Oryctolagus cuniculus: one gene and its partner. The protein of the gene in region 2 purifies or fractionates together with the protein of the main gene of each other region. This does not show direct contact. Links are inferred from orthologs where the notes say so. Each region holds a gene or a part of one and is shown on either strand. Other genes may lie near its edges.

Region 1 (7,907 bases), on a different chromosome or scaffold from region 2:
AGAAAATATACCCCCAAAATACAGTTTATTGAAAAGAACAGCTCTATGATAAAGCATTCATGTTTTCTAAGCAACTTACTGGAAACCAATATTTACACTTACTAGAAACCAATATTTATACTTATAATGTATATTATTTATAATGAAGCATAATTGTTAAGAGCATGGACTCTGGAGTAAGAGGTCTGTATCTATTCCTTGCTAACACTTAATTAGCCACGTACCCATTTTCTAAGTCTCAGTTTCTTCACCTGTAATAGGGAAAAATAACAACTGGACATAGTTACAAGGATTAAACAGATGATTAACACTCAGGACTTAGTAATTAATTACTCAATAATTTAGCTATTCTTATCATTATCACTGTGCACTAATGTCTTAGTTTTCTACAAATATGCCTCAAAGAACGTTTTCTGTGTACCTAAAACACACAACAATCCTAATTATATACTACCCATTCTTTTGAAGACAGATTGAGAACACTATTTAAGAAATTCTTTTTTTCTTTCTTTTCTGGGGATAAAACTCTTACTCCAAATTGACTGTTTTAAAGATTTATTGGTTTATTTGAAGGGCAGAATGACATGGCGGGGGTGGGGGGTGGAATACATACAGAAAGATCTTCCATCATCTCCTGGTTCATTTCCAAAATGACTGCAAGAGCTGCTGAGTCAGACCAAACCCAGGAGCCAGGATTCCAGTTGGGTCTCCCCCATGAATGCCAGTGGCCAAAGAACGTGGGTCATCCTCCACGACCTTCCCAGGTACAGCAGCAGGGAGCTGAGTCAGAAGCAGAGCAGTCAGAACCCAAACTGGTACTCTGGTGTAGGATGCTGCCACAAGTGGCAGCTTCACCCCCTGTGCGACAATGCTGGCCCCCAACTTGAGTTTTTAACTCTACATATGTTCAGTGACTAAATTGAGAGTCTAGAATTTTAAAAGACAAATTGTTTTCTGTCTTCTTATACTTTTCCATTCTTTCAAAGAAAATGAGTTTGGTTGCCTGAAGTCTGCAAAGAAGAGATAAAATGGACTCAGAAGAATGAACCCCCTGCCTCCCACTGAGTATCCTTCTAGTGATCAGACACAAAGGACACACTCTCATTTATGATACTGAGAACAAGTGAATTTTAATTCTACTATCTTTATATATTTTAACTATTATAATCTGAAATTAACACAATTATGAAAGGCCCATTTTCCTCTTGTACTGTAATCATGATTCAAATAAAATATTCCCCCTTCCCTACATTCCTTAAAAGATTGACTTTATCATAAGTGTATACTAGCATAGAGTTGTAAAAAATTCATTCATTAAATCAAAGAAATGAAGATTCAAGCAATTTTATTTCCTAAAATTTAATAATTGTAGAAGCTAACTCCTGTGGTCTAAATTTTTTTTTTTTTTTTTTTTTTTTTTTTTTTTTGACAGGCAGAGTGGACAGTGAGAGAGAGAGAGAGAAAGGTCTTGGTCTTCCTTTACCATTGGTTCACCCCTCAATGGCCGCTGTGACCGGCGCACTGCGCTGATACAAAACCAGGAGCCAGGTGCTTCTCCTGGTCTCCCATGTGGGTGCAGTGGCCATCCTCCACTGCCTTCCCAGGCCACAGCAGAGAGCTGGACTGGAAGAGGGGCAACAGGGACAGAATCCGATGCCCCGACCGGGACTAGAACCCGGGGTGCCGGCACCGCAGGCAGAGGATTAGCCTATTGAGTTGTGGCATCGGCGGTCTAAATTCTTTTACCACTCATTCATGTTCTATGCCCACTGGACAACTGAAAAAAAGTAACATTTACATACACTCATTTTAATAGGCAAATAAGTCTAAATAAAAGTTTATTTACATTATTTTATTTTATGATAATCTCAGGATTCTCCTTGAATGAGCTACCATTTGATTTCCTGGAGGTCTCTGAAATTTCGGTTGGAGAATACATAATTTAATTTGAAAGTAAATCAATACTAGAAACAAATTATTTGATCAACTTATTATAAAAGATTAAACTGCCAGAAACTTTATTTTACCAGGACTAAAATGTATTAAATTACATTTTACTGACATAAGATCAAAAGAACCTCATAACTACAATCTGGTATTTTACCAGAGTCAGGTTATAAAAAGAAGCCAAACCAAGAACTATTCCCTCTGGAAAACAAACTGCTTTAAGCAATTTTTTTATATATATTTTTTTTTATTTGACAGGCAGAGTTAGACAGTGAGAAAGAGAGAGACAGAGAAAGGTCTTCCTTCTGTTGGTTCACCCTCCAAATGGCTGCCACGGCCGGAGCTAGGCCGATCTGAAGCCAGGAGGCAGGTGCTTCCTCCTGGTCTCCCATGCAGGTGCAGGGCCCAAGCACATGGGCCATCCTCCACTGTCTTCCCGGGCCACAGCAGAGAGCTGGACTGGAAGAGGAGCAACCGGGACTAGAACCCAGCACCCATATGGGATGCCGGCGCTGCAGGCAGAGGATTAACCAAGTCAGCCATGGCGCCGGCCCCTGTTTTAAGCAATTTTAAAACTCTCTTGACATTTGATCCATTAAAAAAAAGTTCATCATATAAACAGAATCATTAAAGGATGCTGAAAAACAAACCCAAAGGATTACAAATAAAAACTTTTCCCAAATGCAATGTTACTGGTTCAACCATCACAAATAACTAATAAATGTTTCTACACAATACACCAGCTTTTTAAAAAATAATTTACTATTTTTAAATTCTTTTCAAATTATTCTTAACAGGCTAAAATAAAATGACCATTAAGATATAAAATAACAAAATAACAGTACTTCCTACCAACACACAATATTAGTTTTTAAATAAAATCTGAATTACAACAAATTTGCATATTTTATTAGCTTAAAGTGGGAATTTATGAAAATAGAGCTGGCTTCTCAAAGGTATTAAAACTAATTTAAAGTCACTAGAATTTTATAAAACAGACAACAAATTGGCCAAATGTACTACCATGTCTAATCTTCTGGGATTGGAGATTGTATGAATATGCCCAAAGTTACATAATATTGGGGGGTGGGGAGATGGTTGATGGCCTTTCAAAAATGTATGGTAAATTAATAAGGATAATTTCTAAAATATATGTCATAACAGAGTAAAACTTCAATGAGAAATCTAATTAGACAACACCAGAGTCAGCAGTATCTCCAGACACTGATTTCTCAAATGTCACCAGACTATCCATTACGCTAAAAAGTACCTTTAAATGCACGTAGACCCAGAGCAGCAAGTTTTCAAATCCTTACCTTTTGTGGACATCTGTACTACTTTACTACTGCATCAAAGCACTGAAATACATGCTCCAACTTAATTAGAACTACTATCTTTCTCCTGGGCTCCATTTTAATATTTTTTCAAAAGACACTTCATTCAATAAACCGAAGAAATAGAATGAGTACATATACATTTCCTTTTCCAACATCCAGAATATTAAAGTATTTCTAAATACGGCCTCCCCCTACTCTCCCAGAGAACTTGCTTCAGCTTTATGAATGGTTTCACGTTTTTTAGTGCTAATGTATTTCTGAACATCTGAACATCCCCTCCTACCTAATTTGAAAAAATAAAATTACTTTCAACATCCAACAGCAGCCATGCAAGTAAAGCTATTTTGTTTCCAATAAAACCCAAAGATTATATAATAAGCTATGACATTACCTTCCCAACAATGTTTCCCAATATCTCCTACAGAGACAACATCCATTTTCACAAGAGGAAAACAAGTAGTGAATAAAATATATTTCCTCCCCAACTAAGAACTGCCTTCTCTTTTGTCAATATTACAACACATTCACCTACTGACAAAGGAAAAAGGAACACTTCACTAGCCTATTAGGAAACTAAACTGGGAGCATTACCAGTCAGAGATTTAATTGAGTTATTTCTAGGGAAGAATATTTAAAGCAGAGATTATTTAAAGCACACAGTCAGGTGCTAAATGTTGGGGAAACAGCCGGCACAAGGCAGCCCCTATTTGTCACTTGTCTTTTTCCCCACTACCCACCCTGCACCAAACCCCCATTGTTCTAGGTAAAAACTCACAGCTAATGATACCCAAATAGCAACTGCTACATCTGTGTGGCCGATGGTCACGAGGAACGCTCCAGAACCATACTGACTTGCTGCCTTCTTCCCCACAAATAAAACCCCAATTTGATCATAAATTGGTCACAAACTGGTGGGGGAAAGGCTCGCAGCTTCCCTTGCAGACTCACGGATGTCATTCCAGAGTCGGCTGAGCCAAGCCCCAGAACAGTACCATCATCAACCGACCGACCGGAGGAAAAGAAAGCACTGCAAGTGCGCTTTACAAGCGCATTTACAAGAGGGAGGAAAAAATCCAGGACCGAAACCCTCGGAAAGTATCCAGTCCACTGGGCAGAGGCTCCTGTCCCCACCGAGCACCCCAGCACAACGCAGATGCAGCACGCAGGCTTTCCGGTGGGCTCGCAGCCCTCGTCCACCACTGCCTCCCCAACACCGGCTGGCGGGGACACCTGCGGGCGTCGAGGGAGTCAGCGCCCCGCACCCCGGCGGCCGACTCTCCCTCGGGGCTACCTGCCTCGGCCTGCGGGAGCGCCGCCCGGCACGCGCGCGCGCGCGCACACACACACACGCACACACTCACACTCACCCATCTTTCCTCTTGGCTTTGTAGACGTGACCATAAGTGCCTCGGCCAACTTTGCAGCCCTCGTATTCAAACAGGTCCTCGACCCGCTCCCGCTCGCTGCTCAGCTTCACTTTAAAGTCATAGTCCATTGTCACAGCCTCCGAGGCCGGAGAGCTGGGTCGGGGGGCCGGGGGCCGGGGTGGGGACCGGGGAAGCACGGGCAGCCGCAAGCCCCCGGGAACCCGCCCGCTCTACGCCCGCCGGCCGCAGCACCAGCGCGACGGATGCGGCAGCAGCAGGAGGAGGCCGCGCGAGAGCGCCGGGGACATCCAGGAGGGCAGCGGGGCAGAGGCCGGCCGGGGTGGGGAGGTTCCCCCCGGGCGAAGGAGAGCCGAGGGACGACGGCGGGGGGTGGGGAGCGGGTGTCTCTGCCCTTGTCCCCGCGGGCTCCGCGGGCGCCGGCTCCGCTGCTCTCTCCGGCCGCGCGTGTCCTGCTCCCGCTGCGGTGGGAGCGGCGGGGCGGCCGCGGTGGGCTCTGCTTCTCTCACACGCGCACTCACGCCTCACCCTCTCTCTCTCACACACACACGCTCACACTCACTCACTCACTCACTCTCCCATACACTCCAACAGAAAGGCAGCGCCGCACAACAGCCGGTACCTCCTCAGAGAGAGGAGGAGGGAGGGCACCCGCGGAACACGGCCGCGGCTGTCGCAAAAGCGTCGCGAAGCCTGGGGCAGCCTCGGGCCCCGACTCCAGCCGGCTCCCGCGGCGGCTGGCAGTACCTGCTGGCGCCCGCACCCCGAGGGCACTGAGGAAGGGAGCCGGGGAGCCACTGCCCAAAGCTGCCGCCAAACGTACCACGTGGATGGGCGCCCGCGGTGGCCCGGCCCCAGACTACAACGCCCAGAATGCTTGGGCCGCCGCTGTGCCGCCCCTTTACGGCTCCACCCCGCACGGTGGGAATATGGAGTGTTGCGTGATGGGATTAGTAGTCCGAGACGAGATTAGTTTCATTCACTTAAAGGGATAAAAAAAAAAAAAATGTTTTCTTCTTTTTCTTTTTCTTTTTCTTTTTCTTACAGTGGTATTACTGGAGTCCGAGTTGAACCAAAACTGGACTCAAGAGGCTCACGTACGAGGGAAGCTAAAGAATATTACACTTATATTCTGTGTCTCTTCTGAACTCCGGAGATTAAAGAACATCATCTTTATCGGACGAATGCTATTTGTAAACAGCGCCCTGGCAGCCACTGGAGACACTCGTGGCGGTACCAGTCCGATAAGGGGCCGCGCAGTGGTATCAACGTACCGGCATTCACTGGAAACCTAGAATGCGCTGATGGGAAAGCGAACCAATAACGAGCGTCCACACTGCTCCTGGACGCTGTTGCCCTAGTCCCGGACGGCTCTCACGGTCCTTCCCGTCCATTCAGAGGCGACGCTATTTTGAGTATGGCCTTTTGTACTGCTGCCCTTAAAGCACCAGTTTGGGGGTATAATTACTAGGTCTAAATCCACAGACGTTCGTTTGCTGATCATTTTAAGGTAGGCAAGTTGTCTGCTGGAGGAGTCCTGACACCTTGGTAATAATCCCTCCTTTTCTCTTGTCCCTCGTCTTTGCGCCTCTGTTTTTAATTTTTGGCGTTCAGTTTTTGTCATTTCCACTAAAATTTCCCACTCCCCAGAGGGAAGAAGATCTTTCCCATTTTTAAAATATCCCCCCCCCCCAATTCCTGTGATACTAATCAAATTCTGTTTTTTATTTTCTCTCCCTTGCTAGTTTATGAATTCCTATTGGGAGTCATGTTTGCATCTTCCACAAACTCCTAGTACGATGCCTTGATGTTGCTATACAGCAAATATTTGTTAGTGAATCAATGAATGAATGGACATGTTTATGTCAGAAATAACCATGTACAGCTGATGATGACGATGATGCTGATGACGAAACCATTTTGTGAAAAACCCACAAAAAGACTTTCTCTTGCATAAGTTTCCATGGAGAAAATTAGGGACTTCACTGCTGGTTTAGATTAAGTTGTTTTTATCTAGTATATTAAATATTTAGCATTTAAGTATACTGGATCAGATTAAATGGAACCCTGGATTTTTGCTTTGCAAAATGAAGCTATAAAAGTCCCTAGCAAAGAGCAAGTATGCAAAAAATGAGAGCCTTTATTAAAGGGATATGGAGATTTTTATTTCTATTCAATGCAGTGAAATGGGTGTTTCTCCAGCAGGACTGTCCCTTTGCTTCATTAACGAATGACATTAATAAATATGGACTTTAATAGACTCTTCCTGGAAAAGTGTATTTAGTGTTTTGTTTTGTTTTGTTTTGTTTTGTTTTTGAGCAACGTGTCTCTCTATCCACATATTTACTCATAGATCTTAAGAAATCCAACCACTACACTGCGCTGAGGGTAGCCCCACTTCCACCACCTCCTGTACCACCTGAGCAGGACGTTCCAGAAGGTCTCAGACTTAGAAATATACTTTGACTACTGTTTTGGCTTGCTCTGCATCGTGAGAAATAGCCTCACCAGTCCACCCCAAAGAACAGACTCAGACTCAGAAGTGCAGTTAAAGCAAAATTTATTAATGAGCTTGCAAGATCCAGTACCTGGTGAGCCCGCACACCCAGGTGGTCTACAGCGGGCTGTTTAGTAAGCAGGTCCCTCCCCCTCATTGGCTGAGTACTATGGGCATTACAACCTTCCCAGCATTTGCTTCATCTGTTTTGGCCACCAACATCCTGTTTGCTTAAGAACTTTCTAGAGGAACCGGTGCTGTGGCATAGTGGGTAAAGCCACCACCTATAGTGCCAGCATCCCATAAGGGCACTGGTTTGAGTCCCGGCTGCTCCACTTCCAATCCAGCTCTCTGCTGTGGCCTGGGAAAGCAGTAAAAGATGGCCCAGGTCCTTAGGCCCCTACACCCATGTGGGAGACCCAGAAGAAGCTCCTGGCTCCTGGCTTCAGATCGGCACAGCTCCAGCTGTTGTGGCCAATTGGGGAGTGAACCAGCAGATGGAAGACCTCTTTCTCTCTCTCTCTCTTTTAAAGATTTTTAAATTTTTTTTAAAAAGATTTTATTTATTTATTTGAGAGATAGATTTACAGACAGTGAGAGAGAGAGAGAGAGAGAGAGAAAGGTCTTCCTTCCGTTGGCTCACTCCCCAAATGGCCGCCACGGCCGGAGCTACACCAATCTGAAACCAGGAGCCAGGAGCTTCTTCTGGGTCTCCCACATGGGTGCAGGGGCCCAAGCACT
Region 2 (6,212 bases):
AGTATATAGCTCTCATCCACAAGGTATATATGAATGACATTTAAAATGGAGGCCTTTTATTATTGTTTCTTTTTATCAAAGTCTTTTAGTGTACTGTACCAGCGCTATACTGTAGTTTTTTTTAAATGAACTTCACATATTTTTGTATTCTTTCAAATTGTTTGCTATATATAAAAGAAGCTCACTGCAAAATGCTTGAAGGAAAAAAGGAAACAAAAGAAATTCAGAACTTCCCAGAAATGTACAGCTTTTACATTTAAAAAAGGTTCTGAAATATACATACAAGCATGCTGGACAGTCCCACCCTTCTCCCCCCACTGCCCCTGTTGAGTTCAAACCATGGTAAGAGTTCTGATCTTTGCAGGATTTCCAAAATTAAAAATAAAAAAAAATAAAATAACTTCTCACTCTGTAGCAAATCCAGGGCTTGTACATTTCAGATTAATTCAGTAAAAAACTCACAAGTAAAATAATGCATATTTAAGGGAAATATTATACAGACTTTTTCACACAGAAGTACATAATAAGATTTTTTAAAATCTATTGCCATTCATTTATTTTTGCACAAAAACGTATAAATATGTCACCAGCTTTTCTTAACTTAAAAAACTTAAATAAAAGACACCAGATGAAAACTACCCTTTGCTGCCTTTTTTTTTTAATTTTTGTAGGGTTTTTTTGTTTTGTTTTTTGTTTTTTTTTTTTTTCTTTTTCTGCTTAGAACTGGGTTTCTAGGGAAGAAAAGCCCCTGCATTAAAAACAGCCCATTAAAAAAAAATTCAAAGTTCTGATGAATTCTGGGAAAAAAAGCAACCCCAAAGTGGTAAAAGATTACAAATATCTACTTTACACTGTGTCTTCTCAGCAAGACAGTTCTATACAAGTTTACAATCTCCATCATCTTATGCTCTTCAAAAGGCCTTGAGAATTCTCCTTTCTGATTAAGAAAAAATAGCACTGCAATATTTTTAAAGTCAACTTTACACTGTACACAGTAGATACAAACGGTTGCTATATCAGATTCTTAGCCTATACATTGCGACAGGCGACCCTCCCCCGCCACGGTGGCACGGAGAGCACCGCCACTCATTTACACGTCACGTCTCTGCTCTCCCGTGCCCACCACACAACTTTTTTTTTTTAATATAATGTTTTAAACGTTAGATTATTTCAAGAAAAATACTTTTACAAAATCATATCAATTATTACATTTCTCCTTTTTTTGTTAATAACCAGGACACGGAAGTCTCTTGGAAGAACTTGTAAAATTTGCATGATTCTCTGCACACACAGATGACAAGAGCCCCACGGCCTGGTATGCGCGGCTCCTGGAGGCCGGTCCACATCCACTGCCCCCAGACAGAAACACCCAGCAGCACAGGGTTAGAGACAGGGCTCTCAAGACAACCTCTGGGCCTGGAATGAGGAGTCATAAAATACTTCAATTAGCCATTAATGCTTTAAAAAGGCATTTTTAAAAAAGTTCCACCACGAAGGCTCAACTTCAAGTACTAATTTAATGGTTAAGTTGTAATATTTCTTTGAAATAATATTCCTATGGTCCAGAAAAAACTCACCATATTCAGAACTGGCTTATGAGCAAACACTGTCAACTGTGATATGTACATGGATGAGTCCCTTTTGATCTAATGGGAGGAGAGACCTGGCTTTCGATAAGAATTCACTAGAAAATAGATTTCCATTGTGACTGTATAAAACTAAGTGAGGGACCTGCCTCCGTGGCCCTGGACTGGGCCCAACTCCTCCAGGATGAAAACGTCATCCCTCAGGAGTGGAGCACATGTCACTGGACGTGACAGAACCTGTAGACCCAGTTTGTTCTGAACAAAACCCACTGCTGGGTGGTTCTGAATGTTATTTCTTAGGCATCACCTCCCCAGTCTGTCTTCACCCCTTTCCGCCTCTGGGACAGAGGGGTGCAGTCAAAGAATCCTATGGTGGGGCTGAGTTGGGTTTCAGCTACTGTACCTGGTCCTCGTGAATTAGAAAAAGTCAAGTCACAGAAACTGTATTACAAAAGAACTCAAAATAAATAAAATGAAGCTGTCTCCAGACCTTTTGCATCTACACACAGGCATGAAGTCAACCAGAGCACGCGTGCCAATCTGGAGGGAGCTCTGAGGGCAGAAGCCCCAGTATGAATCAGGTACTTGAGCTGGTTCTTAGTTCCAGAGTCCCAGTTCTGGGCTTCAGGTAACCCACAGGCCACACGCCAGTCACTAAGGACCAGACGGCCTGCATCCTTAACAGAGGCCGACCACAGCCTCTTGTGCAAAAGGACACTGTCTCTTCTGGTTCCTCTGAGAAGCCGCCAGCCACCACCGTTTCCTGCAGGCCAGTGGCAGGGGCTGCGCACGCCACAGCCCTGGCTGGAAGTCACTGCTATGGAGTTCCAGGTCCGCGAGAGAAGCGTCAGGGAGTCCTCTGAACTGAACACTGCAGGGACTGAGCGTGCCTGCGGCGCAGGGATCACAGTGCAGGACTGCGCGGGCTCAAGGACGTGGGAGGTCTGCAGAGCGGAGCAGGAGGAGGAACTGGGCCAGAGAGAACAAGTGCTTTTCCAATCAGAGTATGTTCATGATGGCATTGTACAACTGAGTGAGCACCACAAAGTGGACGGGAAGGCAGGAAGTGCGGTCTTGGGTGGCCGGATTGCACGTGAGCCAGGAGAGGGCGTTGTACTGCTCCAGAACGAACCTGCGAAGAGAACACAGAGATCAGGGCAGGGCCCGCGGCACACGCGAGGCTGCTTCTCCGCCTCGCCACACCTTCCGGACCTTGGCGGGAGAAGGCCTCGCATCATTCTTTACCTGGCCCTGGGCTCTTCTGCATAGTCCTGTCTCAGGCCCCTCTTCCTAATCGACCTGAAGCGCCCACGTGGCTGGCACCAGCCACACGTGGCCACTGAACACCGGAGCAGAGGCAAGATCGAGGAGAGATGCGCTGTACAGATACAACCTGCAGCAGAGTGCAGGGACTCCGTACTTGAAGAAGCCAGTTCAGGGACATGTGTACACTGATGACATGTTGCGATGGTACTATTTCACATGTACTGAGCCAATACAATGCGCTGTTGAATCAATTTAACTGATTTCTTTTTACTTTTTTAATGTGGCCACTGGAAGAATTTCCATTAGATATGTGGCTCCTGCCGCACTTGTACCGAACAGAGTTCCTTCAGGGGCCTGGGAGTCCAATTCAGGTCGACCAGGTTCTTGTGTAACTCTAAGTTCTGTAAGTCAATTAAGAGCTGGCATACACTAAAGAAAGCTTGTGTCTTTTCTCAAGGCACATGAAGACTGTCCATGGACTGGTAAAGTGTAAGAGACTGACTACATATTCTAGAATGCACTTCCGACTCTGGAATTTCTGTTCAGCCAATGTTACTTACAGAATCTGTGGCAGCGAGGGTGGAAAGTGTTTTCAATGCAAAGTACTTGCAGCTGCAGGCACTGCCTTCTACCTACTCGCCCACTGAAGGTGACCAGTCGTCACCATGGAATGCCTCCCCGAACAGGAAGCACAGGCAGCTGCAGCCGCACACACACTGCCTGTGCCAGGCCCCCGCAGGCGGCGGCCCTCGCTGGCCGATCAGACACTGCAGCATGCGCCAGCGGCAGCACCTCTTCCATGAACACCACACTTAGACGCAAACCCCGGAGTGAAGGAAGGTAACTTAAACTGCCCCTCTATTGCCTAGGTCAGGATCTACCTTAAAACGTCAGATGTGGTTTTGGAGTCCAGAGGGTGTGGAACCCGCTGAGAATTCCTGGCAGGGAGAAGTTCGTCCGTCTGTGCTACAGAAATGTGGTGATGCAGGGAAGCCTGGGGAAAGAAGCAAGAGCATTACCTCGGGCCGACAACCTCAGCGCAGCCAAAGGAGGCCCAGGGCCAGGAGCACATGTTCTCCACAGAGTGTCCGGGAGTCCACGCGGCCTAGGCGGCTCAGTAACCCCCAACAGGTCCCATGAGCTTTTTTCAGCCTATTTTTCTTTTTTTGGCCCACTATATTTCGTTTATTGGAAACAGTCAAATATAAACAACAGTATAATATATAATGAGGCATCACATACCCCCATCACCAAGCTGCACACACATTACCAAGATATGCGACTTTTTGTTTCGTTTGAGTTTGTTCCCCTCATGAACTGTTTAAAAACAAAACCCAAATACAGTGTCATTTGGTCTATAAATAATTCAGTAGGTACCATTAACAAGTAAGGACTTTTTAAGATTTATTTTGTTTATTTGAAAGGCAGAGTTAGAGAGAGAGAGAAGGAAAGAGAAGGAAAGAGAGAGAAAGAAAGAAAGAGAGAGAGAGAGAGAGAGAGAGAGAGAGAAAGAGAGAGAGAGAGACGATCTACCTTCCTTCTGCTGGTTCACTCCCCAAAAGGCTGCGATGGCCAGGGCTAGGACAGGCTGAAGCCAAGAGCCAGGAGCATTTAAGTGTTTCCTAGTCTTTTATACATCTCATGTTTTGTTCTTGTCCAGTGATTTCTGGGACAGACTCCCCGCAGGGAACTGCTGTCCCATGAGATAAAGCGTAGGCCACCTCATTCACGATTGCCCCCAACACGAGGTCTTCTTCCCAGGCACAGCATGTTCTCCAAACCTTGTTTTTTCTGAATCTATTGGCAAGAAACAGATCTTTCCTTTTTTTTTTTTTTTAAGATTTTTATTTATTTATTTGAGAAGAAAGAGCTACATACACAGAGAGAGAGAGAGAGAGAGACAGAGACAGAGACAGAGGGAAAGGTCTTCCATCTGCTGATCCACCCCCCAAGTGGCTGCAACGGCTGGAGCTGGGACAATCTGAAGTCAGGAGTTTCCTCCAGGTCTCCCATGTGGGTGTACAGGCCTGAGCACTTGGGCCATCTTCCACTGCTTTCCCAGGCCATAAGCAGAGAGCTGGATTAGAAGACGAGCAGCCGGGACATGAACTGGTACCCATATGGGATGCCAGTGCTGCAGGCAGAGGCTTAGCCTACTACGCCACAGCAATGGCCCCAGGTTGAAGATGTATTTATTTGAAAGGTGTAGCGACAGAGAGGGCGAGGCAGAGAGAGAGAGGGTGAGGCAGAGCGAGCGAGCGAGCAAGCTCTTTCCTATTGCTGGTTCACCTTCCAAATATATACAACAAGTGGAGCTGAAGCTACCAGCCAGGAACTCTATCCAGATTTCCCATGTGGGTGGCAGGGAGCATGGGCCATCCTCTTCTATCTTCTGAGGGCATTAGCAGGGAGTTGGATCAGAAGCAGAACAGCTGAGACGTGAACTGGGGCTCCAATATGGGATGCCGGTGGCTTAACCTGCTGCGCCACAATGCTGGCCCCAAGAAGTGACTTTCATGCTAAGATTTTCCACACAAACTGCAAGTAAGGGACCTTTTACTACTTTTTTTTTTTTTTTTTTTTTTTTTTGACAGGCAGAGAGAGAGTTATAGACAGTGAGAGAGAGACAGAGAGAAAGGTCTTCCTTCCATTGGTTCACTCCCCTAATGGCCACTTTGGCCAGCACTGCGCCAATTCAAAGCCAGGAGCCAAGTACTTCCTCCTGGTCTCCCATGCGGGTGCAGGGCCCAAGCACTTGGGCCATCCTCCGCTGCCTTCCCAGGCCACAGCAGAGAGCTGGACTGGAAGAGGAGCAACCGGGACTAAAACCCAGGGTGCTGGTGCCACAGGTGGAGGATTAGCCAAGTGAACCACGGCACCAGCCAGGACCTTTTACTTCTAACTCTTAAAATCTTGGTTAAAAGAGATCACAGGAAAGAGCAAGTGTAAAGTGCGATACTGCAGCAGAATCTTGCCCCTCACACACAAAGAGGGCAGGAGGAGACAGGGAGTCCTGACCATCCTCCAGCCGGACTTTCACTCCCAGACAGCACTGTGACGCAGACTTGGAGAAAGACCCTGGACTGAACCGCATGTTCCCTCTAGATGGGCCCTCCGAGCCCACAACATCTACTTGGGTGGATGCAATTCATTTCTTTGTGCCATGATTTTAGGTCCTGCTCTTAAATTCTCTCCACCCACAAGAGTAAATAAGATACCCTCAGGGAGTAAGTCCTGTGAGAGAAACGGGGAACAGAATAAGGCTATGACAGCTACGGTAGAAATTTCTAAGCAAAGCTGAATCCAAGCATAAGCCACTCCATCTCGCAAAATTCCAATATGAAGCCAGACCGACCTTTA

What was found. The genes of interacting proteins can lie anywhere in the genome.
Region 1: the proteins of MED13L (region 2) and CDK8 purify together in Homo sapiens (affinity purification with mass spectrometry; 6 studies listed by BioGRID and IntAct, counting the BioPlex papers as one, with this or other methods). This does not show direct contact. The link is inferred for Oryctolagus cuniculus from reciprocal best matches to the Homo sapiens genes MED13L and CDK8.

The regions. Positions count from the first base shown.
Region 1 is NC_091440.1:96,553,760-96,561,666, reverse strand, and holds the start of CDK8 (cyclin-dependent kinase 8), read right to left. Parts: upstream 4,780-7,907; coding exon 4,652-4,779; coding exon of another isoform or gene 4,438-4,651; intron 1-4,437. Other genes in the region: collagen alpha-1(I) chain-like, read left to right, coding at 4,438-5,590, 5,717-5,964.
Region 2 is NC_091452.1:12,460,315-12,466,526, forward strand, and holds part of MED13L (mediator of RNA polymerase II transcription subunit 13-like), read right to left. Parts: coding exon 6,208-6,212; intron 3,847-6,207; coding exon 3,734-3,846; intron 2,719-3,733; coding exon 2,586-2,718; 3' UTR 1-2,585. UniProt on the Homo sapiens protein: Component of the Mediator complex, a coactivator involved in the regulated transcription of nearly all RNA polymerase II-dependent genes.